Schizosaccharomyces pombe: one gene and its partners. The protein of the gene in region 4 interacts with the protein of the main gene of each other region in a pairwise test. Each region holds a gene or a part of one and is shown on either strand. Other genes may lie near its edges. The genes, in order: ish1, ted1, arp2 and man1.

Region 1 (5,879 bases), on a different chromosome or scaffold from region 4:
CAAATTTAGCTTTCCAAATTCGCAAAGCTCATATTAAAAAAATTCAGAAATCATACTCAGTTAAAATTGGTTTTAAATGCTATAAATTTATAATCTAATTTACTAAATTCTACCTTGTGGTGTGCAAGACGTTTATCGATGCAGGCATAACCATTCCAAACAAGGAGCCAGTTATGGAAACCACTGTTTCAGCAAAAAACAGTTTAGAAAACGAAAATTTTCTAAAAGAGAAATCAGAAACAGTATTTCTAGATGAAGCCGCAATAACCAAACCGCCTGCTTCAAAAAAGAAGCGTAAAAACAGAAAAAAGAAGAAGAATAATGGTCCTTCAGAACAATTTGTGGGTAATAATGATTTAGAGGAACAACGCTCCGGCTCGATCGATTCAAAAGATAAAGAAAAACCTCTAGATGAAAAGGTAAAGGAGTTGGAGAATGCAAACAAAACCTTGAGTGACTTGGTTCGTAGGATCCAAATTCAACGCGACGAAGCCGAACAGAAGGCAGAAATCTACAACAGGGATGCTCTAAATACGAAGCAAGAGCACCTTGATATAAAAAAAAGATTAGAGAAATCTGATGAAACGGTCTGCAAACTAAAGGAAGAAAACGAAAATCTTCAAGATATGCTCAGGAATGTTGGAAACGAGTTAGTGGAGTCAAGGGATGAAATAAAAGAACTCATTGAAAAGCAAAAGGTTCAAAAGGAAAGTGTCAAATCTCACGAGAGCGAGCTGTCCAGTGTTATGAGCAGTGAAATATTGCCCAAAGCTTCAAGTGATTCAGCAGGTTCATTCGAGCCACCTGTTATAAGCAATATTTCTAAAGAATTGATTAACAAAGAATATGCTAGAAATGTTTTACTGCAATTTTTAGAGAATCACGAACATCGCGATAAGATTTTACCAATTCTTTCCACAGCTCTAGATTTGGAGGAGGTGCACCAACATCTAATTCTGAAAAACTTAAATTAATAAAAAAGTATCTTGATGGATTATATTAATGTTAACAATAGGATGGATTACTTGCCAAGGAAGGTTAAGTAGCGAATATGAACATAGATATTTCATTAAAAGTCATATATTAAACGAGAACTCGTTTTAGACGTAATCTCCTTCTTTTTAAATAATATAAATAGACATTAAGAACGTTCATGAACAATTTACAAAACCCTTTGGGCTTTCTTTACATTAGTTTCGACATAGTCGCCTGCTGAAGATACAGCAGATGAGGCTTTAGAGGCAGTATCTTTTACCTTTTGAATGTTTTCTCCTAGCTTAATTTCAGCTACGTCGCGAGTGCCAAATCCCATAAAAGAAGCAACACGTCGAAGGAAGCCAGAGACTCCTGATTTAGCCTTGTCGGCAACAACAGGACCATAGAATAAAATATCATGACGCTTTAAGCGTTCAATAGCATCTTTACGATTAAACACCTTACCAATACTGTCACCATATTCCTTGAGTGCAGACTTTAGATCTTCATTAGACCAAGAGTCATAACCGGGAACAGTTGCCTTAGGAAACTTTGATTGAATCGATTGAAGAACAGATTTGTCAGCCTTTTCAGCAATAGCGCGATAAATATTACAGGCATTTTGGAAAAGATGTTCACGATCTTTGGATGGGTGAAGTTTTCCATGGTAATGTTTTTTGTATTCCTTAATCCAGGCAGAAAGCTCTTTGGAGCTCAAAGTATCAAAATAAGCAGCCCAATTAGGAACAGCGCCTTTATTGAAATGCTTACGAACAAGGTCCAGTAATTGATCCTTAGTAGAACGCTGAGGAACCGGAACTCCACGAAGGAACAAAAATTCCTTCAATTTAGAGTCTTGCCAGCGCTCGATGATGGTCTCATCTATTGTTTCACGTACTTTAGATGCCGCCTTACTGGCAACCTTACTAGCGGTTTCAGCAGCATAGTCAGCAGCTTCGCCTACCTTCTCTGAGGCAGTAGAGCCAAGGCTGGCAGCCTTACCTTTCATTTGCTTGGCTTTTGAAGTGGCAGTATCCTTATTATGTTCAAATGCAGATGTTACCGATTCTGCGGCGGTTTTCGCACCCTCTGTAAAACGAGAGGCTCCAGAAGCAGCGCCTTGATAGGCTTCTGTAGCACCACTTGCAACATTAGAGGCAATAGAAGAAGCAGAGTCAGCCACGTTGGAAGCTTCCTCATAGGCCTTTGACTTTAGAGCCTGATAACCGTTTGTTTTTAAGTAATACTGACGACGAAGGTGAGCGTAAAATTGATCAATTGGAGATGGTTGATAAGCAGGAATACCATGAGCGTCAAAATATGCTTTTAGTCCAGAATTGGCCCACCAATTACCAAATCTGCCCCTTCTTTTCGAAATTTCTTGTAGAAGTTCACCACCTTCTTCCATCTTTTGTCCTGCATATTGACCAGCTTCACTAGATTTCTCGTTAACCAATTCTTTAGCATCGCCAGCTTTGTCAGAAACAAATTCTCCAGCTTGCTTTGCCTTCTCGGAAGCCTTGCCCTTTACAGCTTCAACAGAAGGTTGGGCTTCGTCAGCTTTAGTAGAAATATAGTTCTTCAGCTTTCTAAGCAAGTGAGAACGAGTACTTTCATGGGAAGAAATGGGAACACCTACATCATGCAGCCAGGTGCGCAATTCGTTATCGGACCAGGTATCATAAATCCAATCTCCAGTATTGCCTAATTTAGAAGTGAGGGCATCATATTCCTTTGCAGCTGTTTCGCGAAGTGAAGCAGGACTCAACTTCTCCAGAATGCCTTTCTTCTCTTTAGCAGCAAATTGGGGACTGTGTCTAGCTAAAAAGGCTCGCAATTGTGAATCAGACCAAGATTCGAAAAGCGAAGCCTTTTGTGACTCCCAGGCTTCTTGAGTGGCATCCCGAGCATCCTCGACAGAGCCACTAAGTTTACGACCCGTCTTACGAATTTTGTTGCTTATAGCATCAAGATATGAAGATTCGGTTTTTTTTCCCAACCAAGAATTTAAATTATGGCCGCTCCATTTGTCAAGGTTAGGGACCAAGGAATCATAAGATTCGGAGATAAATTGCTGAAAGTCAGAAGGAGAGCTTCTTGATCCATATGGGATTGAGTGCTCCTCTAACCAAGTCTTTACAGCGGAGGTGTCGTTTTTTCGATAGGTAGAGAACCCATACGTAAAGATATAAAAGACGATGGCAAGCAAGACGCCTAAAGATGCCACTGATCGAGAACGCATTTTTACAAATCAAAATAAATAAATATCACAAAAAGAAGATAGATAAGAAGGAAAATAAAAAATATAAATTATTCCTCTTGAAATAAAATTGAGGGAACTAAAAAAGTAAACCCTACTAAACGGTAAGTTGAACTTTGAATCACTAAACTAAGGGATAATGAGAAAGGTATGTCGGAAGATGAAAATAACCCACTTTAAAGAATCCTATTTAACACAAATTTCAAATAAACCAGAGTTCTAAATACTACCACAGTATGTATTAGACCAAAGTTTTACCTAAAATGGAATACAAAGAGCACAAGTGAAGAAACAAAACAATCCTAATCAAGGATTATAGAGACAATAACCTCCAAGTTAAAAAAGAAACAGAGAAAATTTAGTAATTACTATAGGTAGCTTACTTGGAAAGCGAGGAATTCCCAGAGGCAATAGCATGTTATATATACGCTAAAAAAAGGCATTGCATCAGATAATCTAACTGACGTAAACTCCCTCGAAATTAATGAGGAAAGGTTCGTTAGTTAGAAGTCCTAAGAAACGTCGTTAGAACGAATTGAAGGGGAGACAATACATCATGAGTTTAACTATCAGTAACTAGGGATTAAAGGAAATTAACGATAGCGCACAATCTGACTTAAGATACTCTTGAATAAAATTATATTTGGTGATTGATATCGTATTTAAAGTATTATAGCAATCTTAAATTTTGATTATATGTTAGAGTGCTGCTAGATGTATTTGCTGTGTAAAATCACATTGATGCTAGCAGCAATCGGCCATAGTTCATGATTTGAAAATGAAAAAAATATACATAGAGAGATAAAAATCTCGAAGTGCGATGATCTGGTTGTATGGTGGATAAAATCACAATTTTGAAAGGACAAACGATCGCAAAACTTACTACTCTCTGCTCCTTCAAGATGGCGTACTGAGCAATATGAAGATTAAATTAGGTAAAAATGGAGGAAATAAAATACGTACTGTGATGTACACATTGTTAGTAATTTTGAAAAACTGTAGTTATAGAGGTATGCCTCCCAATGATAAGACGAGTGTATAGAAATAGACTGACCCGGAAAATCAATTATTAAAAGTCAATAGGATCGGCTCATTTAAATCATGTATAACTTTAACCCGTCCTATAGCGTGACATATTTTGCATATAGATATAATATTTTTGGACTTTCGAATGAATAAGAACCATAGTGAAGAGCTAAAAAAGAATCGAAAAGTACTTACTATTTTACGAGTGGATCTTCTATCTCGCTCATGCATCTTCTCTTCCACCCTTAGGAATGGCTTCCAAAACGTGATTGCGTAGTTGTTCTGCCAAACTGTTATCTTTGACACGAACAGCATATAACACAGATTTTCCATTTTCAATAACGAAGATCTTTAAGTAATTAGCAGAACCACCACTAGATGCTGATGCAATTTGTAATGACTTTTTCGACATGCCTTGGAAAAGAGGCACGTTCATTATAACTCGATGCACGGCATCATTTCTCATCAAAAGGCGGCCTGAGCCTGATCCCCTTTGCTTGGGAACATTTACTTTCAAAATTCCCTGCCCACGTTCCTTCCAAGTCTTTTTTTCATCAGCAACAACATAAAGTCTTGCGCGAACACTGAATATTGATTCCTCCTCTTCCTCCCCAGTGATGATTTCTGAATCACTCAACTGATGCATAGTAGACTTTGTTGAGTCTCCACTACCCTTGTCAGCCTCCTTAGGTTCCGATTTGGTTTCACCAGCTGAACCTTTCTGATTCTCGAATGCTTTGGCTGACGTATTCGCAAGTAACTCGTCAAAGTTCTCTGAACTCTTTTTATCATTTTCTTTTTCTTTGCCAGAACCACTTTCTGTTTCAACTGCTGTTCCTGCAGCAAACTTTTTAAATGGGCTATCCTTAACGCTCTTCATTGTGAACGCTGACTTTGAAGAAGCGAAAGCACCAAATGCTGATTTCTCTTCTTTTGGTTCAGAGGAGGCGGTTGAAACATTGGAGAATGGAGACGAGGCATTAGAGAATGAAGCAAATTGTGAAAAGGGAGAAACACTCGCGGCAGGCTTAGCAGCCGATTCTTTTTTGCCTGTCTCTACAGCTACGTGTCCCTCATTTTCATCAACATCCTTATTCACCTTCAATTCTTTTTCTTCTACCTTACCTCCAGTTGAGATACATGGCTCCGTGTTTGATTCCTTTTGGATTTTAGTAGACTCAGTAATCTCAACCTCCGGTTTTACGCCATTGCTCTTCGTAGTCTCTTTAAATTCCTTAACTTCAGCATTCCCTTTATCTTCCAGCGGTTCACTCTTCGAGACTTTAGTGGAAACCGCTGATTCTTCTTCTGCCGGATCGTGCTTTCGCTTTGAAGTTTCGTCTTTTGTTTCGTTCGATTTTTCTTCTAACGCATTTTTGGTAGAAATGCTTTCATCTTTATTATTTTCCATTTTGCTGGTCATTATATCCACTTAAATATTATTTGCTTAATCGTATTTTCGTAATTTTTGATGTTGGGGGTATTAAGTGTAGTTTGGAATCCCGAATCACTGAAAGCCTAATATATTTCACCTAGCTATGAGTACATGAGGACGAATGTGGATTCAATCAAACACACAGCTGTTTAAAGATTTAAGATTTAATTATACGATTACATT
Region 2 (5,301 bases), 1.2 Mb from region 4:
ACCTGGCGAAAGATCTAAAGCAGGAAATGTGGCATTTTCATCAAAAGTATTGATGGTCATTATGTAACGGCTTGTTGGTGGATACTCAACTTCGTTTATTAACCAGACATTAGCCTGCAGGGGATCAGTGCTGACCACACTCCATTCCAAGGGTTCAATATGTCCACTAGTCCAAACGTCTGAAGAAGAAGGAACATTAATTTCCATGCCAGCACAAAGCTTGGCTAAGCTAATTAATAGCCCGCTGATGGTTAATCTTCTCATTTCTCAAATAAATCCCTAGTTCGGCAATTGGCAGTGCACAGGCCTTCAGCAAGACGAATACCCAACTAAAAGTAGATGGTTAAGGAAAGAAAGTAAGCGAGAAAGGCGACTTAATATAGCACTTGGGTTTCTGATATGACCTAAGTGTATTAATGCTCAAAAGTGGGGCAATGCTGGAAACTGTATCGATGTAAACAAAAACAATCGAAAAATTGTGGATTCCAGAGAGACATTTATATTTGCACCTAAATTAGATAACGCATTCTTGGGTCGCGTTACTATGGTAACATTGGTCGACTTTGTGTAAATAAACATCCAGCACTACTGCAAGAAAGTACAAAAATGACGTTAAATGTAATTAAGGCACCACGTTAATTCAATGAATCTGCAGGTTCTTGGTTAAAAACCAGCAGAATGGCTGGTAAAAAAGGTTGGTTTCTCTCAAATTCACCTAAAGGCTGGATATATTGCCTGTTTAAGAGGCTGGTGTAAATATAAAACTGTTCATTTGAACAATTAGTGCACAACAATGTTAGATATGTTGCAATGATATTACCAATAAACGTAAGATGGTAAGTACGCATACCGATATGTGAAGAGCCCACCAAATATAAGATGGTCCTCCGTGACTCAAGGTATAAGTGGCATATATGTCGGAACTGAATTTTGACTGTTTCAATGAAGCCTTCTTCCATCGTTGGCCAATGAGTTTTTGAATCAGAAATGTAACAACCGAGGGTGTGTTCTTGGAGGACTCTGTAAGAACATCATTTGTCGCGATCAGTTTGACAAAACCAATATTTCCTCCAAAGTACCCCATTGCGCTGGGTAATGTATGTTCGATGGCACCGTTCGGGTGTTCGTAGTCACAACCCATATGATCATGGCCAGAAAGGACCAATTTGATGCTAGGAATCAATTCAAAAATTTTCATAGTAGTATTATACGATAAATGATTTTGAGACTTGACCCGAAAATCCAATTGACGAACGATTCTCGGTTCGTCAACACACACATTAGCTGGTTTGTAGAGTGGCACATGGGTGAACAGTATGGTTGGAATAGACGGCTCTAAAGCAATGTCGAAAAGAAATTGCCAAGCATCCCTAGCTTCTTTTGAAAGAGCAAGTATACCTAATGATGAAAAACTTTTACTGTTAATAATATCGCTAGGGTTCGCATCGTAAAACTGAACATCATCAAGCGAAAGGCTATTTATGCCGATCACACGGACAGGAAATTTAGAAACATTGAAGTGCGAAACCCAATTTACCGGGCCCATAGCTTGTTCCCATTTGCTAATTTGTGCGTCTGAACTTTCGCAGCCATAGCCAATGTCATGATTACCCGCAATCGTCCAAACGGGAATGTTACCGTTTTCAAAAGTACGTGCTGGTAAACTGGAGTTTCCTACTTGCCAAAAGTTTTTTGCCCCAGTGATTTTTTTCAGTCTTTTAGCTCTTTTGTTGAATTCTTCGTTATCCAAGTGCTGAAAACTGACCAAGTCACCCAACAGAATCATCGCATCTGGTTGACCCCAAAACTGATTCATATGTACAAGGTGTCGTAAAAACAAATCATTCCCCCAAAGATCTAAAGTGCCTTTAAAAAATCCATTTGCTTCGATTTTATGATTCCCTTCAATCTGAGGATCAGCAACCCCCATAATAACAAAAGAATTTTCATCTTCGAGTTGCAGCTTTCTTGGCATTATGCCAAATAGTAGAGGATAGGCATAGTAGACAGCTAAAAAAACTAGGCAAAGATAATGTAAAATAGACAGTTGTTTGTTCAACCATAATAAATTCGGATGTCTTGCAAACATTATTGACTTAATTATGTCAACGTAAATTAAAAAAGGGAACGGAGAGAAGGAGCGATTTTTGGAGTGCCTATTTTTACTTAGGAGCAGACTAAACGAGTAATGTAGAGGCGTAAGATTTTGGTTTTTGCTTTACTTACTAGATTATATAAATGGTATACCACCATAAAAGTGTCAATAAAGCTTTTTAGAAAGATTTGCTTTCAAATAACAAGAAATGAGCAGAACAGAATAGAAAAACAAAAAGCACAAATGAAACAACAAAACTTATTTTTCTAATCCATGAAGCTAGTAAATGGGTAATTTATAGGTATAGCTGCAGTATTCGAACAAACCCACTGCTAAAATTTAGATTGCAAATCAATGGTCAAATGATTGATTCAAAATTCCTGAAAAAGAAGCTTGGTTCTTAGAAAAATGTGTATCGATGTTTGCCGTTGAAATTTTTTTCTGAATTGAATTAATACCAAGTGTATCAGTATAACTGGCTTAAACAAATTAAAAAATAAGCTTTCTACTGAATGTAATAGCAAAAAACGGCTAATAATCTTGACCGAAGTTTGTTTAATGATGAACAACGGATATGACTGAAATTGCTTGAAGTGTATATCAAACTAAAGAAGGAATACCTCAAAACATGGAGTTGTGGCTGACAGTTTTCACGAAGAAAGGAATGGAAAAGAGCGTCGAATTTCAAACATAAACGTTTCTTTTAGAGCTCGTCTTAGCTGCCAAAGTTAACCCGGTACACTACTTAGTATTAATAGGTGAATTATGACTGACGTTTTTTACATTAAACGGATGGTAACATGTTACTTGAAAACAGCAGTCCAAAATTTTCGCTGCATAGACGGTAACGGAAATTGAGTATTTATTTTTTTTTGTAGAAGTTTTTACATAGCAATTTACTAAAATGTCCGACGATAGAATCAATTACCTTAAGAATAAACTTGTTCAATATCCAGATTTTCCCAAAAAGGGAATCTTGTTTGAAGATGTAAGATTTTATAGAAGGAGGAAATGCGCGAGGTTGGATAGGAACGGTGATATTATTTTGCTCAATTAGCGTGAAGTTTGAATCCAAAATACAATTCGAGAGGTTATATTATCTTTACGCCTTGCAATTGCTTAAATACTCTGTTAAATTATAAACAATAAGATGCTAATGTTATTAGATAATGCCCATTTTTCAAGATCCCAGAGCCTTTGGCATCCTTATCGATCTTTTGCTTGAAGCCGTTGAAACTGAATTCAATAACATTGATGTGATTGTTGGTTTGGAGGCGCGTGGATTTCTTTTTGGACCTACGTTGGCTTTACGTGCAAATTGTGCATTTGTCCCTGTCCGTAAGCCCAACAAGCTTCCCGGTGATTTGGTCGTCGTAAGCTACAATAAGGAATATTCTACTGATTCTTTTGCAATCCAAAAGGGTACTATTAAACCCGGTCAAAGAGTCTTAATAGTTGACGACATTCTTGCTACTGGTGGCACCGCCTTGGCTGCTGATGAACTCGTTACTCGTTTGGGTGGTGAATTAGTTGGACATCTCTTCCTTTTAGAACTTACATTTCTTCAAGGACGTAAGCGTCTTATGGCTCCTACTTATACACTTCTTACTGGACAGGATGAAGCACCTGATGGTAGTGAATTTGCTTAAACTATGAACTCGAAGTATGTATAAGCATTTCTAATTTTTAACGTTATATTTGCTTTATTCCTTTTTTATAAATGTTTAGGGTTCTGGGTTTTTTTCTATGGTTTATTCGTCAAGCTAGGATTTTTTTAGTCTAAGTTGTAAATTGAATAAGTTATACATTTTTCAACTAGTATTCTAAAAAGTAGGATTTTTGTTAGCAAATATATATAAATCGGGTGGAAATCGATATCTTAAAATGAAAAAAAAGAAAAAAGGATGCAACATCATAAGGAGAAAAGCTTATAAGGGTCATAAAGGGTATAATTTTTAGAATGGTCAATACCACGCTTTTCTTTAATATAAATAGGTAGATACATTCAGCTTATTATAAGCCTATTGACGAATCCACGTTATAATATAGCCCTCGATTAAAAGTATAATTACAAGAGAAAGCTGAATTATCCAAATATACTTTTATTAAGTATTGAATGGATAAACATCTATAGGCTTTGAAATCACGCAGCACAAATATTTTTTAAATAGTAAAAAGCATATATGACCGCAAGTCTATACACATGCGTAAATAAAAAATCACAAAACAGCGTTATTCCTAGCTGTTTATGCATTTCAGACACAAATATAGGTTTGAAACTGGAGTTCCTTGGAAGTACGAAGGGGCGTCAAAGTCTGATTGACGCACAGAGACGTTGGCCCATTTAGAAACAAAATTGTTTTCATTTTTTAAGAGAATAGTCGGAGGGATGTATGGTTTAACCCAATTGAATAGACTGTTTTGAGAATGAATATTTTCTAACGGATTAATAAATTCACCATCCGTGATGAGAATTAACAATCCTGCCTTATTGGTATTTTTTGCTTGCTGCACCCATGAGCAGTTGCCAAGTGGAGCAATATATGCTGTATCTTTGTCGAGAGTATCGGAGGGTTTTTGACACATACTGTTATTTAACAAGACTGTCTTAAAAACCTTTGAAGGTAAAGAATTATCGTTGTCAAATTGAAGGAATTTTCCAAACGTTTTTTGACCACTGTTCGGATTTTCTAGCTGAGCAATAGTTCGATCAAAGTACAATGCATCAGGTCTTGTGAAGGTCTCATAATCCGGATCGGTTAGGAAGACCGTGTCATTCTCATTTATAGATTCAGCTCCAGCAGTGTATAAAAACAGAGAATTAGAACCTTCTTTTTGAACGAATTTAAGTTTATTACCGATAATGTCGGATATGTATACATTATTGGTTACACGTTCCACTGATTTTATAGGACTAACAAGTGCACTTCCATAAAGGAGTTCAAAACCATCGGAATACTCTGGCCTCTTGCAAACACCCGATGGATCAATTAGATACGAGGGTATTGCTTTGTTATCAATTCCTACTAAATGAGAGACATAATCGTAATCGTCTCTAGATGCTATCAACGAATATAACATTGGCCATTTAGATCTGTCGTAATCTTCTGCAACACAAACTTCTCCACCGTCGTAAATTCTTTGAGAGGTAGACAGTCGTGTTTGATTTGTCACGGGAAACAAATGACCTTCTGTCGTAAAAATAA
Region 3 (4,668 bases), 450 kb from region 4:
CAGTATCCTGGTTAATTACGGGTTTATCTTAAACATGGTTCATATGTATGTCCATGTGTTTAATATTTTAATTTTGTTGCTTGCACCGGTCATCATTTTTACTGCTGAGATGAGCATGATGATTCAAGTTCGTATAATTTGTGCACATGATAGAAAGACACAAAGGATAATGACTGTTATTAGTGCCTGCTTAACTGTTTTGGTTCTCGCATTTTGGATTACTAACATGTGTCAACAGATTCAGTATCTGTTATGGTTAACTCCACTTAGCAGCAAGACCATTGTTGGATACTCTTGGCCCTACTTTATTGCTAAAATACTTTTTGCTTTTAGCATTATTTTTCACAGTGGTGTTTTTTCATACAAACTCTTTCGTGCCATATTAATACGGAAAAAAATTGGGCAATTTCCATTTGGTCCGATGCAGTGTATTTTAGTTATTAGCTGCCAATGTCTTATTGTTCCAGCTACCTTTACTATAATAGATAGTTTTATCCATACGTATGATGGCTTTAGCTCTATGACTCAATGTCTGCTAATCATTTCTCTTCCTCTTTCGAGTTTATGGGCGTCTAGTACAGCTCTGAAATTGCAAAGCATGAAAACTTCATCTGCGCAAGGAGAAACCACCGAGGTTTCGATTAGAGTTGATAGAACGTTTGATATCAAACATACTCCCAGTGACGATTATTCGATTTCTGATGAATCTGAAACTAAAAAGTGGACGTAACTTACGCCTGAATGTATCTTTTTTGATAATTCCTAATACTGGCTCAATAACAGTCCCAAATAACATAGACGGTTTTTTTACGATAGGCTTGTAATCATAATTTGCTCAGAGGGAAGTTTTCTAATGGTTTTTTTTTTTTCGCTTCATGAACAATTGTTTACTATAAACATCAATGAAATTATATGATTATAATAACTTATTATCATGAAAACTTCAAGTCGTACTTCACAAACACTTATTAAAACAATAGTGAATGAACTGCCTTCGTAATCTATAATGAACTATAATGTTTTGAGTCTCCAAGTGCTTACCTTACGAACTTTTTTTTTTATTTAAAGCTTCTTGTACCGTAGAAGCCATATCATTCATCGAAGAAGCTAATTCCTTTCTAAGCATCGTTTGCTTTTGTACTTTGGCCGATTGCATTAGCAGTTCTTCCAGACGTGATTTAAACGTTTCCACTATATACACGTAAGTATTGAGCTATTAAATAAAAATTATAACCAACCTGCTGACAATAAAATGTATTTATCCTCCATTTATTTTTATCAAATATTGTATCGAAATGTTTTAGCTGCGAAACGTTACACTCCTTAATTTAGTAATAGCAATATAATAAGGATCTTTAAACCGATATGTGTTATTCTCAAATTGCATTGCTCCACTTATTTCAGTAAACAGATGACAAATATTCAATAATGGTATATGTCGATAATTATAATTCTTTTGTTTAAGTCTTGTATTCAATTTAATGCACACATCTAGTTACTAGAGAAATAAATTCTTTATTAAATCGGTTCCGCGATTCTTCATTTTTGCACAGCGCTCCTAGTCATACCAATCTCATAATAAACGATCGAAGTGTTACCTGCACATTAAACAAACAAATAGAGTCCGTGTTTTTCTTTTAAATAATAGTAATACTATGTGAAACGAAGAATCTTTTAACTAATAAGCGATAATATACATTACTGCCGAACAATTATAAATGCACAGTTATGGCTTTGAGTATAAGGGGTAACGATACTAATGCTAAGTACAATAGAAGATAAGATCATTAACCGTAAAAACCTTTGAGCTATTCTTTTTGCAGCCAATTGTTAAATTAATTTAGATACTTCATTTCTGTTTTATAATTCTCAAGATTACTGCACTTCGCTTTCCTACGATATTACATATTTACGATATATCACCGAATGCTCTGCTACAGTTGCAGTGCTGCTGTGTCATACGGTATATGGCAGATAGTTACCGCCGGTACATTACATAGGGGTGGACTTAAGAACTAACCTTTCACCAACTACACGAGACGTTTATAAAATGGAGTCTGCTCCCATTGTTCTAGATAATGGAACTGGTTTTGTGAAGGTAATCAGTTTAATTAAATCTTTGTTTACACTGTGACTAACGTTAGCAAGGTCGGATATGCTAAAGACAATTTTCCGCGCTTTCAATTCCCATCCATCGTAGGAAGGCCCATTTTACGTGCTGAAGAGAAAACAGGAAATGTTCAAATTAAAGATGTTATGGTCGGTGATGAAGCTGAGGCGGTGAGATCTTTACTTCAAGTAAAATATCCCATGGAAAATGGCATTATCCGTGATTTTGAAGAGATGAATCAACTTTGGGATTACACTTTCTTTGAAAAACTAAAAATTGATCCGAGGGGTAGGAAAATTTTGTTGACCGAGCCCCCTATGAATCCTGTTGCTAACCGCGAAAAAATGTGTGAGACAATGTTTGAACGGTATGGTTTTGGTGGTGTTTATGTCGCCATTCAGGCCGTTCTCTCTTTATACGCACAGGGATTAAGCAGTGGTGTAGTTGTTGATTCTGGTGACGGTGTAACCCATATTGTGCCTGTCTATGAAAGTGTTGTTTTAAATCATTTAGTTGGTCGCCTTGACGTTGCCGGTAGGGATGCTACCCGCTATTTGATTAGCTTACTTCTTCGTAAGGGTTATGCTTTCAATCGTACAGCAGACTTTGAAACTGTTCGCGAGATGAAAGAAAAACTTTGTTACGTTAGTTATGATTTGGAATTGGACCATAAGCTTAGCGAAGAAACTACCGTTTTAATGCGTAATTACACCCTTCCTGATGGAAGAGTTATTAAAGTTGGTTCTGAGCGTTATGAATGTCCAGAATGTCTATTTCAACCTCATCTGGTTGGTAGTGAACAACCAGGTTTGAGTGAATTTATTTTTGACACTATCCAAGCAGCTGATGTGGACATTCGCAAGTATTTGTATCGCGCCATTGTTCTCTCAGGTGGTAGCAGTATGTATGCCGGTCTTCCTTCACGTCTTGAAAAGGAAATAAAACAGTTATGGTTTGAGCGTGTTCTTCATGGAGATCCCGCACGTTTGCCTAACTTTAAGGTTAAGATTGAAGACGCTCCTCGTCGCCGTCATGCCGTGTTTATCGGCGGCGCCGTATTGGCAGATATCATGGCTCAAAACGATCACATGTGGGTGTCCAAGGCAGAATGGGAGGAGTATGGAGTACGTGCACTAGACAAATTGGGTCCTAGAACTACTTAGAGTATATTTATGTTTAATGTTCTGTTTCTTTCTTTTTATGTGCTAGTAAATTGAGTTATACGAAGTTTGATTCATAAATTTCAAACTTTGCTAAATGATTACGTTTTCTGTTTAATCCGACCATCGTTAAAAGACGGTACGATTCCTTCTTTTATTTGCCTTTTTGATTCCTTTTTCTTTTGATGGGCTATTTACTTATGCTTGATGTTTATACAACCTTTTTGTAACCAACGATCTTATTTACTCAATATGCACTAGTACACTTCAATAGCAACAGACTTAATGACTAGACTCCCGTGACGTATATATTTGGTTTCGCCCATTTAGGGCGTTTTCTTATTAGGTCCTAGTTTTAACAAAAATAGCTTGACATTCTGAGCTTCTAGTTTTCTGAAGATTGACATCCACGGAAAACATGAGTAACATTTAAAAGCAGGAATTTCTATTATTGTAAATAAATAAATTACCGACCTAATTTTTTTGTTAAATTGTATATATAAACCATTAATAATGTGTCCAAGACAGCCTAGAAAAATTAATGCTCTTAATTAAGCACGACAGCATAAGAGGAGTAGAAATTGCCGCACAAATCGACTGAAATTTCTCATAACGGTGTAAGAGGAATTCATTAGGAAACAAAACGACGGAACATTGAAACAACCTTAAATAAATAAGAACAAATATAAAAGTGTAGTTTACGAAGACAAAATGCCTCGTGAAACCGACAGATGAAAAACAACGTGAAACCGAAAATATGTGAATAAAAAATGAACAACATAGAACAACAGTAATGAAAATGAAAATATAAAAACAAAGAACAAAAGCAAAGAATAAAAAAGGAGAAACGACTGGAGTAAATAAGAGAAGAATCCAGAAGAAGTAATTTAAAGTTGCTTCCATTGTTCAATTATTCGAAGAGCTGTTTGAAGTTCCTCAGCTACAGCAACAACATTTTTCCGCTGGAACGCCTGCATCCACTGTCGTTCATAATAAGCATCTTCCACGTCATCGTTTTCGAGTAAATAAACATGCTTCAAGTTAAGATAAACGCCAAGTAAATGTATCTGATAAATATCAGTTACAAAATATGGGTACTTCACAACTTGGGACACCACGTAGTCAAATAAAAGTTTGGCTTGATCGTCGATAGTAGAGGAATCGGGAAAAGATGGAGGCTGCCAAAAGTGCAATGTATATTTAAGTTTATAATTATCATAAAATGAAACAGGCAAATTGTGATCTTTGGATAGAAATATCAGTATATCAGCTGAAGTTTTTTTATGCTGCTTAATATCTGCTAATTCAAATAGCAAAGAAGAAGACGCATCAGGGGCAAAGGCGACAACTGCACCACTTAACTCAAGATATCGTGAATCCGATAATACCCGAGTGGAG
Region 4 (6,384 bases):
TCGAAAGGGCTTGTTCACTGACGGATCGGAAATTAGTAATGGAGTATGATCATCATCGTGTGAAGACATTTGTAGCTCCTTCTCAAAATGGTGGGTACGCTGATAAAATAGAATGTAAATTATAACCCAAATACTCTTCTACTCGAAATGTTCGCAATAATCAATTAACTCGTTGCCCTCAAACTGCAGCATCAATTGTAAAATTCCTTGCACCTATATCCTAAAAATTTTTCTATATGCAATATATACGTTTCACAACGTTTTCGATTTCGAGATAATTAGAAGACTTTAGGTAGTTGGTGCTACTAAGAAGGTTGAGAACCGAAGGAAAATATTTGCTCGAGAAAGTAATTTTGAACTACTAGTTACTATGAAGAAATAACTATATTCCAAAATGACAATGCAATGTAATTGCTTTGTAGTTGGCTAAGCCTTTAGATGTATATATATTAGACGCTTAGATTCTGGACTAGTTTAATTAATGCTGTTACGTTGTGGCGTTATAGTGTCATCGTTAGTCGTTGAATAGTTCTTATAGTGAAATTGGGTATAATATTCGAAAAAAAATTAGCAAACTCGCTATTTTATGCTATTTATTAATTCTTTCTGTTCTTACTGTGAAAGATATTTCTTATATTCCACTTACGTTTGAACTGAGGCTCTTGCTGTATTTTAACTTACGGCTTGCAGTATCAATATAACTATTGCTACTAGAAATTACCTTTAGTCTACGTATTCCATTGAAGCTCTCCGAACGCATCATCTATAGGAAGTTTATTTCTTTTGGAACGGCAAATTTGCCAACTTCTTGTCTGTGAACATATTTTTGTGATTGTATTCTTTCTTCTCAATTCCTTTATTTCATGCTAAGTTGAGCTATTTGATTTCATTTTAGAGCATATACCGGTACATAACTTATTAAATTCTGATTCCATAACAGGAGTGGAATTGATTTACTAATTCTCGGAGTACATTTATTGTAAATTTGAGCATCTCTATTATTTTGGCTTATTTTAGTTAATTATTGACTGTAAACCAACAACATGACTACATTACTGGAAACACCTGGATATAGTGAAAAACTTCATGATTCGATTGAAAAAAAACTTTCTGAATATGGGTGGGGAGAAGAGGCTGCTTCTCTGGCCGATTTTGTTCTTGTGATGCTTAGCAATGGAAAAACACAAACTGAAATTAATGAAGAACTAGTTGATTTAATAGGGTCCGATTTTGATACTAGCTTCTCACTTTGGTTATTTAATCAAATTGAAGAGCTTGAAAAATCAAAAAATGCTTCAGTTGAGTCAGTCAGCAAGATCGACGAAATCGATTTTATCGAGAAGGAGTCAACTGACAAGTCGCAGCAATCTTTCTCTGTGCCGGAAACTAGCATACAACCTCAATCTTCTCAAACTCCTAATATAACTTCGTTACGTGAAGAGAAGGAGCTACCTACTGGGCGTGTCGGACAAAAGCTCAAACTTACATCTCAGAAACAGCGATTCAATCCCATGGCAGCTTCGTTTAACTACTCGAAATCCGTTATGCCTGCTGCCAAGCGTGCTCTCACTCAAACCCAAGAGGTCCCTTTGTGCAAATATGCCGATAAGTGCTCCCGTGCTAACGTATGTATTAATATCAGATAATTTGTTAAAACTAACTCTTTAGTGTATATTTGCTCATCCGACACCAGCCGCAGCCCCAGGAGAAGGTATGGTCCTGAGCAGTGAAATGTGTGCTTCTGGTAAAGAATGCAAAGCTGCTGATGTAAGTACCATAATAATTTAAATCTAACTATTACTAACGTATACAGTGTGTCAAGGGACATCCATCTCCAGCTACGGTTACTACATTACCACCTTTCATGTCCATGTCAACCATTCCAATTCCTTGTAAATATAAACCGTGTTTGAATCCAGCTTGTCGTTTTATCCACCCGACGAAAAGCAGAAATATGACATGGCGGCCACCCTCTAAAACAGAAGAGACGTCCCTGAGTGAACGTTCGTTTGCTGTTAACGAGTCAGAAGAACAACTTCATGTTCCTTCTGTGTAAATTTAGAGAATTATGATACTATTTCGTGTTCGTATAATTGGCACATATCTACTTTTGATAGTCAAGCCAGGATACTTCGTTTAAGAACATACCTTCTAGAGTTTGCAAACTTGATATTTATTTTATTGTATAGATTGCTAAAACGATAAAGTTTTATTTGTCGCTACGTTTGCTGCAATCGGCAATTATCAAGTCGCTAAATTGATTTAAAAAATTTGTTTTCGTTATATTGATGTCTTTTTAGTGAATGAAAATTTTATTTTGATGTGAATTATGCAAATAATGATTTATTTACTTCTTCGGTTAAGTTAATATTATACATATTCAAATACCCACGTTTGTTGACATTCATTACTAAATACATCTTATGTTACTTGTTGGTTACTTGGCTTACACCATGTTGTTGACAACAATCACTTGGTATTTACATTCGCCAGTTTTACGTCTATACACATACCCTTTAGTTAAAAGGTTTTTTTTAATTGAATGGAGGTCCCTTCTTATTTTGACCCCGATTATGATCCTTCGTCTCTTCGAGTAGTAGATTTGCGTAATATATTAACTGAATATCAAATATACTATCCGTCAACGGCGAAGAAAGCGCAGTTAATCACGCTTTTCAGTAAACTACGAAGGGCAAAAAATGGCTTGATCTCTATGACAGAATTGCAGCAAAAGAACGTTCCTCCGTCTTCTCGTAGTCCTCGTAGAAGGGTGGCAGGGGTTACGAATAATGTTACTGCTCGAATTAGCTCTAAGAGAAAAATAAATATGGTTGACGAGGCTAATGATACAGAAATTTCTAAAACTTCACAATTTGAAGATAATGTGATGGGGATGTTACAGGACGAGAACGTTCAAGTTTTGAATACTAACACGATAACCATTTCAGAAGAATCTGAATTTCATGCCTCAAAGATTGCCAAAATAGATTCGCGAAACGAAGAAATAACACATATACCATTTGAGACGCAAACTGAGCTTAATGCGGCAGTTGTAAACCTCGACAACTCAATGGAATCGTCTTTTTCAATTGTCCAGAATTTAACAAACAAGGATTCTTCTGTAGACACCGCTACTTACGATTTTTCTGCAGAAGTTGGTAATATCGTAACACCTGCTTCAAAGTTTTTAGACTATGATCAAAGCTATCTTGTTAATGCCTCCGTGTCGGGTGATCCAACGCCAGTAAAGGTATTGAACACGACGTCTCCAAAAAGCGAAAATCCATTGAACCAAAGTTCTTTTCTCAGTTTCTTAGGCGAAAACCTAAAGCCTAAGTTTACCTCCCGTTCGTCAAGCGTTTACGCTTCTCCTATCAAGTCGTCGTTGAATTCGCTTGAATGTAATCCAAGTAACCTTCTTTCAGTCAGAAAAAATTTTCAACAAAGTTCCGACTCTTATCTCAAATCAAACAAGTCATTTGACCAACTCAACAATTTGGTTGGCTTGTCTACTGGTAATTCGGAGAACTTCACTCCAGAAAATAACAGTTTTTCATGGACTCATCCCAAAAAGAATTCATCATCACCCCTTCCTCAATCTCAATCTTCCTCAATTTTTGTAGAACACCTAAATCAGCTGTACGAAGCAAATGCATCAATTCATCGTCCTGTCAACCCTGCGTTTTCTACAAATTTTGGGTTAGAAGCATCTAATACATCGACGCCAGAGAAGAAAAAATTTGATTCCCAAAAACCCGACGATGATTCGGTTAATGAGATTTCTTCTGATCTCGGTCTTAGTACTACGGGTATTGATCGCGTGGAGGAAAATATTTCCTTGACTAAGGATAGGCAACCTAAAAGGCCATACTTTAGTCTTGGTTCATTCATTTCTTTAATTTTCTCTTTTACCAAAGTGGTAAATTCCTTATGGCTTGTATTGCTTGTCGTACCTCTCTTGGGATTTGTAGGCTTTTGGCATCAAGAAGTACAGCGCGTTGGCTTCTGTGGAGTTCCTGCCGAACCTTATCCTTCTAGTCTATATTATCTCCAACCAGGAGTTTTACGTTCCTCTATTGAGTCTGCATATTCATTTGCTCACTCTTTAGGAATTGAAGCCTCTTGTCAACCTTGTCCTGAGAACGCTGAATGTGGTTTCAATCGTCAGTTATTTTGCAAAGAAGGATTAAAGGCTTCGTTTCCTTTACTTGCAGATTTCGGCTTAAAACCATACCCACGATGTATTCCGAATACCGTGAAGGTTAATAAGGTTGAAGAGATGGTGCAGGCATTTATGTCTATTATCGGAAAGTGGTACTATAAAGCCCCTAAAGAATTTGCCACTTTTGAAAGTGCAAAGAATTTAAACGGAAAATCATTTGTTGACAATTTTAAGGATCGATATTACATGTATAAGCAGGACATCGATAATGTAGTCGGACTTAAAGATTTTAAAGTATATCTGAAGACTACTTTAAACCGTCTATATAATTCAAAGCTGACAAGAAAAGTACTATATTACTTATTTTCTCCACTATTTACTCTTGAGCTATGGAAGCTCCGAGTACGTGGGGCATTGAGTAAATTTCCGACTAATTGTTTGCGATCTGTCTACTCTCATACAGTTTCCTTAATGAAGTATTTGACTTCAGCAGTTATATCCTGTTGGCGAATTTACTTGTTGATTGGTATATTGGCAGCTATTACCGGTACCGTTGTATGGCGAATAAGAGTCTATGCCAAGAAGCATGTAGTAAAGCATGGAGTCTCCGTATGCGTTTCACATTGTATTGCTAAGCTACAAAAAACCAAGCTAAAGTCCTTGACAGATTTTTCTGTCAATCCTCGTGTAGAAGTCGTGCAGCTACGTTCTGACTGTTTTGTATCTGGAGTCGCAGATGACAAGGGCCTTTTTGAACTTGTACATCTCCCTTTGTCAATTCAATTAGAAATATGGGAAAAGGTGGTTTCAGTCCTTGAAGGAATGGTAAGCGTAAAGGTATGGGACAGTGAGCGCTTGGCAAAAAATCGTGCTTGGGAATGGATCGGGGTTTTTTCAGATGACATTGCCTTATAAAATACGGTTAGATATATAAAAAATGACCTTAAGGTCAAACTTTATGAATGTCGTTTGGCATGATGATTTATGAATCTAGATACGAGTGCAGCATCAGTAGGTACTATTATGTCAACATTATTTTCCTCACGTTAATATAATTATTTTTTAGTTATTGCACTTTGTTAAGCACAGGAGCTTATAGATTGAAACACTATCGAAAAATTTAATCAACAGATTCGAAAATTTCATTAATTTAACATTGGTTTTTCTAATTAAAAAAAGAATATCAAATTTAGACCCGAACCGTTTGCATTAGCTGTCTAAAAGAGCATTTCAAATTAGCATTTGGCATCCGGCCTCAATGAAAATAAAGAGTTCCATGTGACAGTTCTTATTTTGAAGGGTTCTGGCATGTTTGTAAAAATTCAATGCCTCGACGGTATTGAACGGTACAGTCTAAAACAGGTCTAATACACTTTTAGAGTTCTAGGACTAAAAATGAACGATAAACAAGGGCCATAAAATGCTCCAAATCAAACAAAAGCCAAACTCGCAAATTGAATTATCTTTATTGCAATATAACTCTAAATACGCAGAAATATGAAATTTATAGAATATGAAATTAAAATAGAATCTGGGAAACTCAACAAAGAAATAATTAACACGTTTAGTATAAGATAAAATAGTAAAGACAAATAAGAAAGATTAATGCAATGCACTTGCTACGAGATTTCGTAAAGCTTTACAAAGTAGTTCAACATCGCCAGAGTAACGACCGGAAGCATAGAAAAACTTTTCGTCCGAATAAACCCAGTGAGCAGTTTTGGGCCCTGGTACGTATTTCGATTCAGGAATATAAGTATAAGTATAAGCCGGAGGATTAGATGCGCCAAATAAATAAGACGCTCTTTCCATATAAAGTGGAGTCGTAGTCGATTTAATCTCAAGATTGGGAGCAGCCCGCTGAACAGCGATTGCTCCTTGAGCCATTGTTGCTAAAACGCGGGTGCCACTAACACGGGCACATAAAGGTATATAGTCAGCTAACAATGAACTGAGACGAGGAGACTCTACAAGTTCTAAAACAGCGGGATCCTGCCCTCCTGGCACATAAACCAAGTCAAAGTTTTCAAAGGTAAAGCTCATATCAGACATATTTGAAGGACTTAAAAATTCTTTGGTAGTTGACATTCTTTCATAAATATCCTTAGTCTTGTATGTGGCACCGATGAACCAAGATTTCACTCCACTTAAAAGGCGCTGATCGGCTTGAGCAACAATACCAGTCAAAGTAGCAAAATTAACCATGAATCCCTCCTTTACAA

What was found.
Region 1: the proteins of man1 (region 4) and ish1 interact in a two-hybrid assay, tested with the Schizosaccharomyces pombe proteins (2 studies listed by BioGRID).
Region 2: the proteins of man1 (region 4) and ted1 interact in a two-hybrid assay, tested with the Schizosaccharomyces pombe proteins (2 studies listed by BioGRID).
Region 3: the proteins of man1 (region 4) and arp2 interact in a two-hybrid assay, tested with the Schizosaccharomyces pombe proteins (2 studies listed by BioGRID).

The regions. Positions count from the first base shown.
Region 1 is NC_003423.3:2,515,087-2,520,965, forward strand, and holds ish1 (nuclear envelope Ish domain protein Ish1), read right to left. Parts: upstream 3,628-5,879; 5' UTR 3,218-3,627; coding exon 1,163-3,217; 3' UTR 1,039-1,162; downstream 1-1,038. Other genes in the region: Golgi GRIP domain protein Grp2, read left to right, coding at 174-974; Ran GTPase-binding protein Hba1, read right to left, coding at 4,485-5,684. UniProt on the Schizosaccharomyces pombe protein: Has a role in maintaining cell viability during stationary phase induced by stress response. Activated by the spc1 MAPK pathway.
Region 2 is NC_003424.3:4,080,687-4,085,987, forward strand, and holds ted1 (phosphoprotein phosphatase), read right to left. Parts: upstream 2,820-5,301; 5' UTR 2,090-2,819; coding exon 797-2,089; downstream 1-796. Other genes in the region: protein adg2, read right to left, coding at 1-264; apt1 (adenine phosphoribosyltransferase), read left to right, coding at 3,000-3,083, 3,262-3,744; alpha mannosidase Mnl1, read right to left, coding at 4,334-5,301.
Region 3 is NC_003424.3:4,781,005-4,785,672, forward strand, and holds arp2 (ARP2/3 actin-organizing complex actin-related protein subunit Arp2), read left to right. Parts: upstream 1-2,017; 5' UTR 2,018-2,050; coding exon 2,051-2,098; intron 2,099-2,122; exon of another isoform or gene 2,123-2,148; coding exon 2,149-3,273; 3' UTR 3,274-3,761; downstream 3,762-4,668. Other genes in the region: pheromone p-factor receptor Mam2, read left to right, coding at 1-730; protein Fta6, read right to left, coding at 1,043-1,191, 1,239-1,269; Golgi 4,6-pyruvylated galactose (PvGal) residue biosynthesis protein Pvg5, read right to left, coding at 4,158-4,668.
Region 4 is NC_003424.3:5,234,477-5,240,860, reverse strand, and holds man1 (LEM domain-containing protein Man1), read left to right. Parts: upstream 1-2,482; 5' UTR 2,483-2,542; coding exon 2,543-5,077; 3' UTR 5,078-5,705; downstream 5,706-6,384. Other genes in the region: SPOM_SPAC14C4.07 (transporter), read right to left, coding at 1-69; poly(A)-binding protein Nab2, read left to right, coding at 1,044-1,625, 1,669-1,767, 1,814-2,056; SPOM_SPAC14C4.04 (uncharacterized protein), read right to left, coding at 5,765-6,384. UniProt on the Schizosaccharomyces pombe protein: Required for correct meiotic chromosome segregation.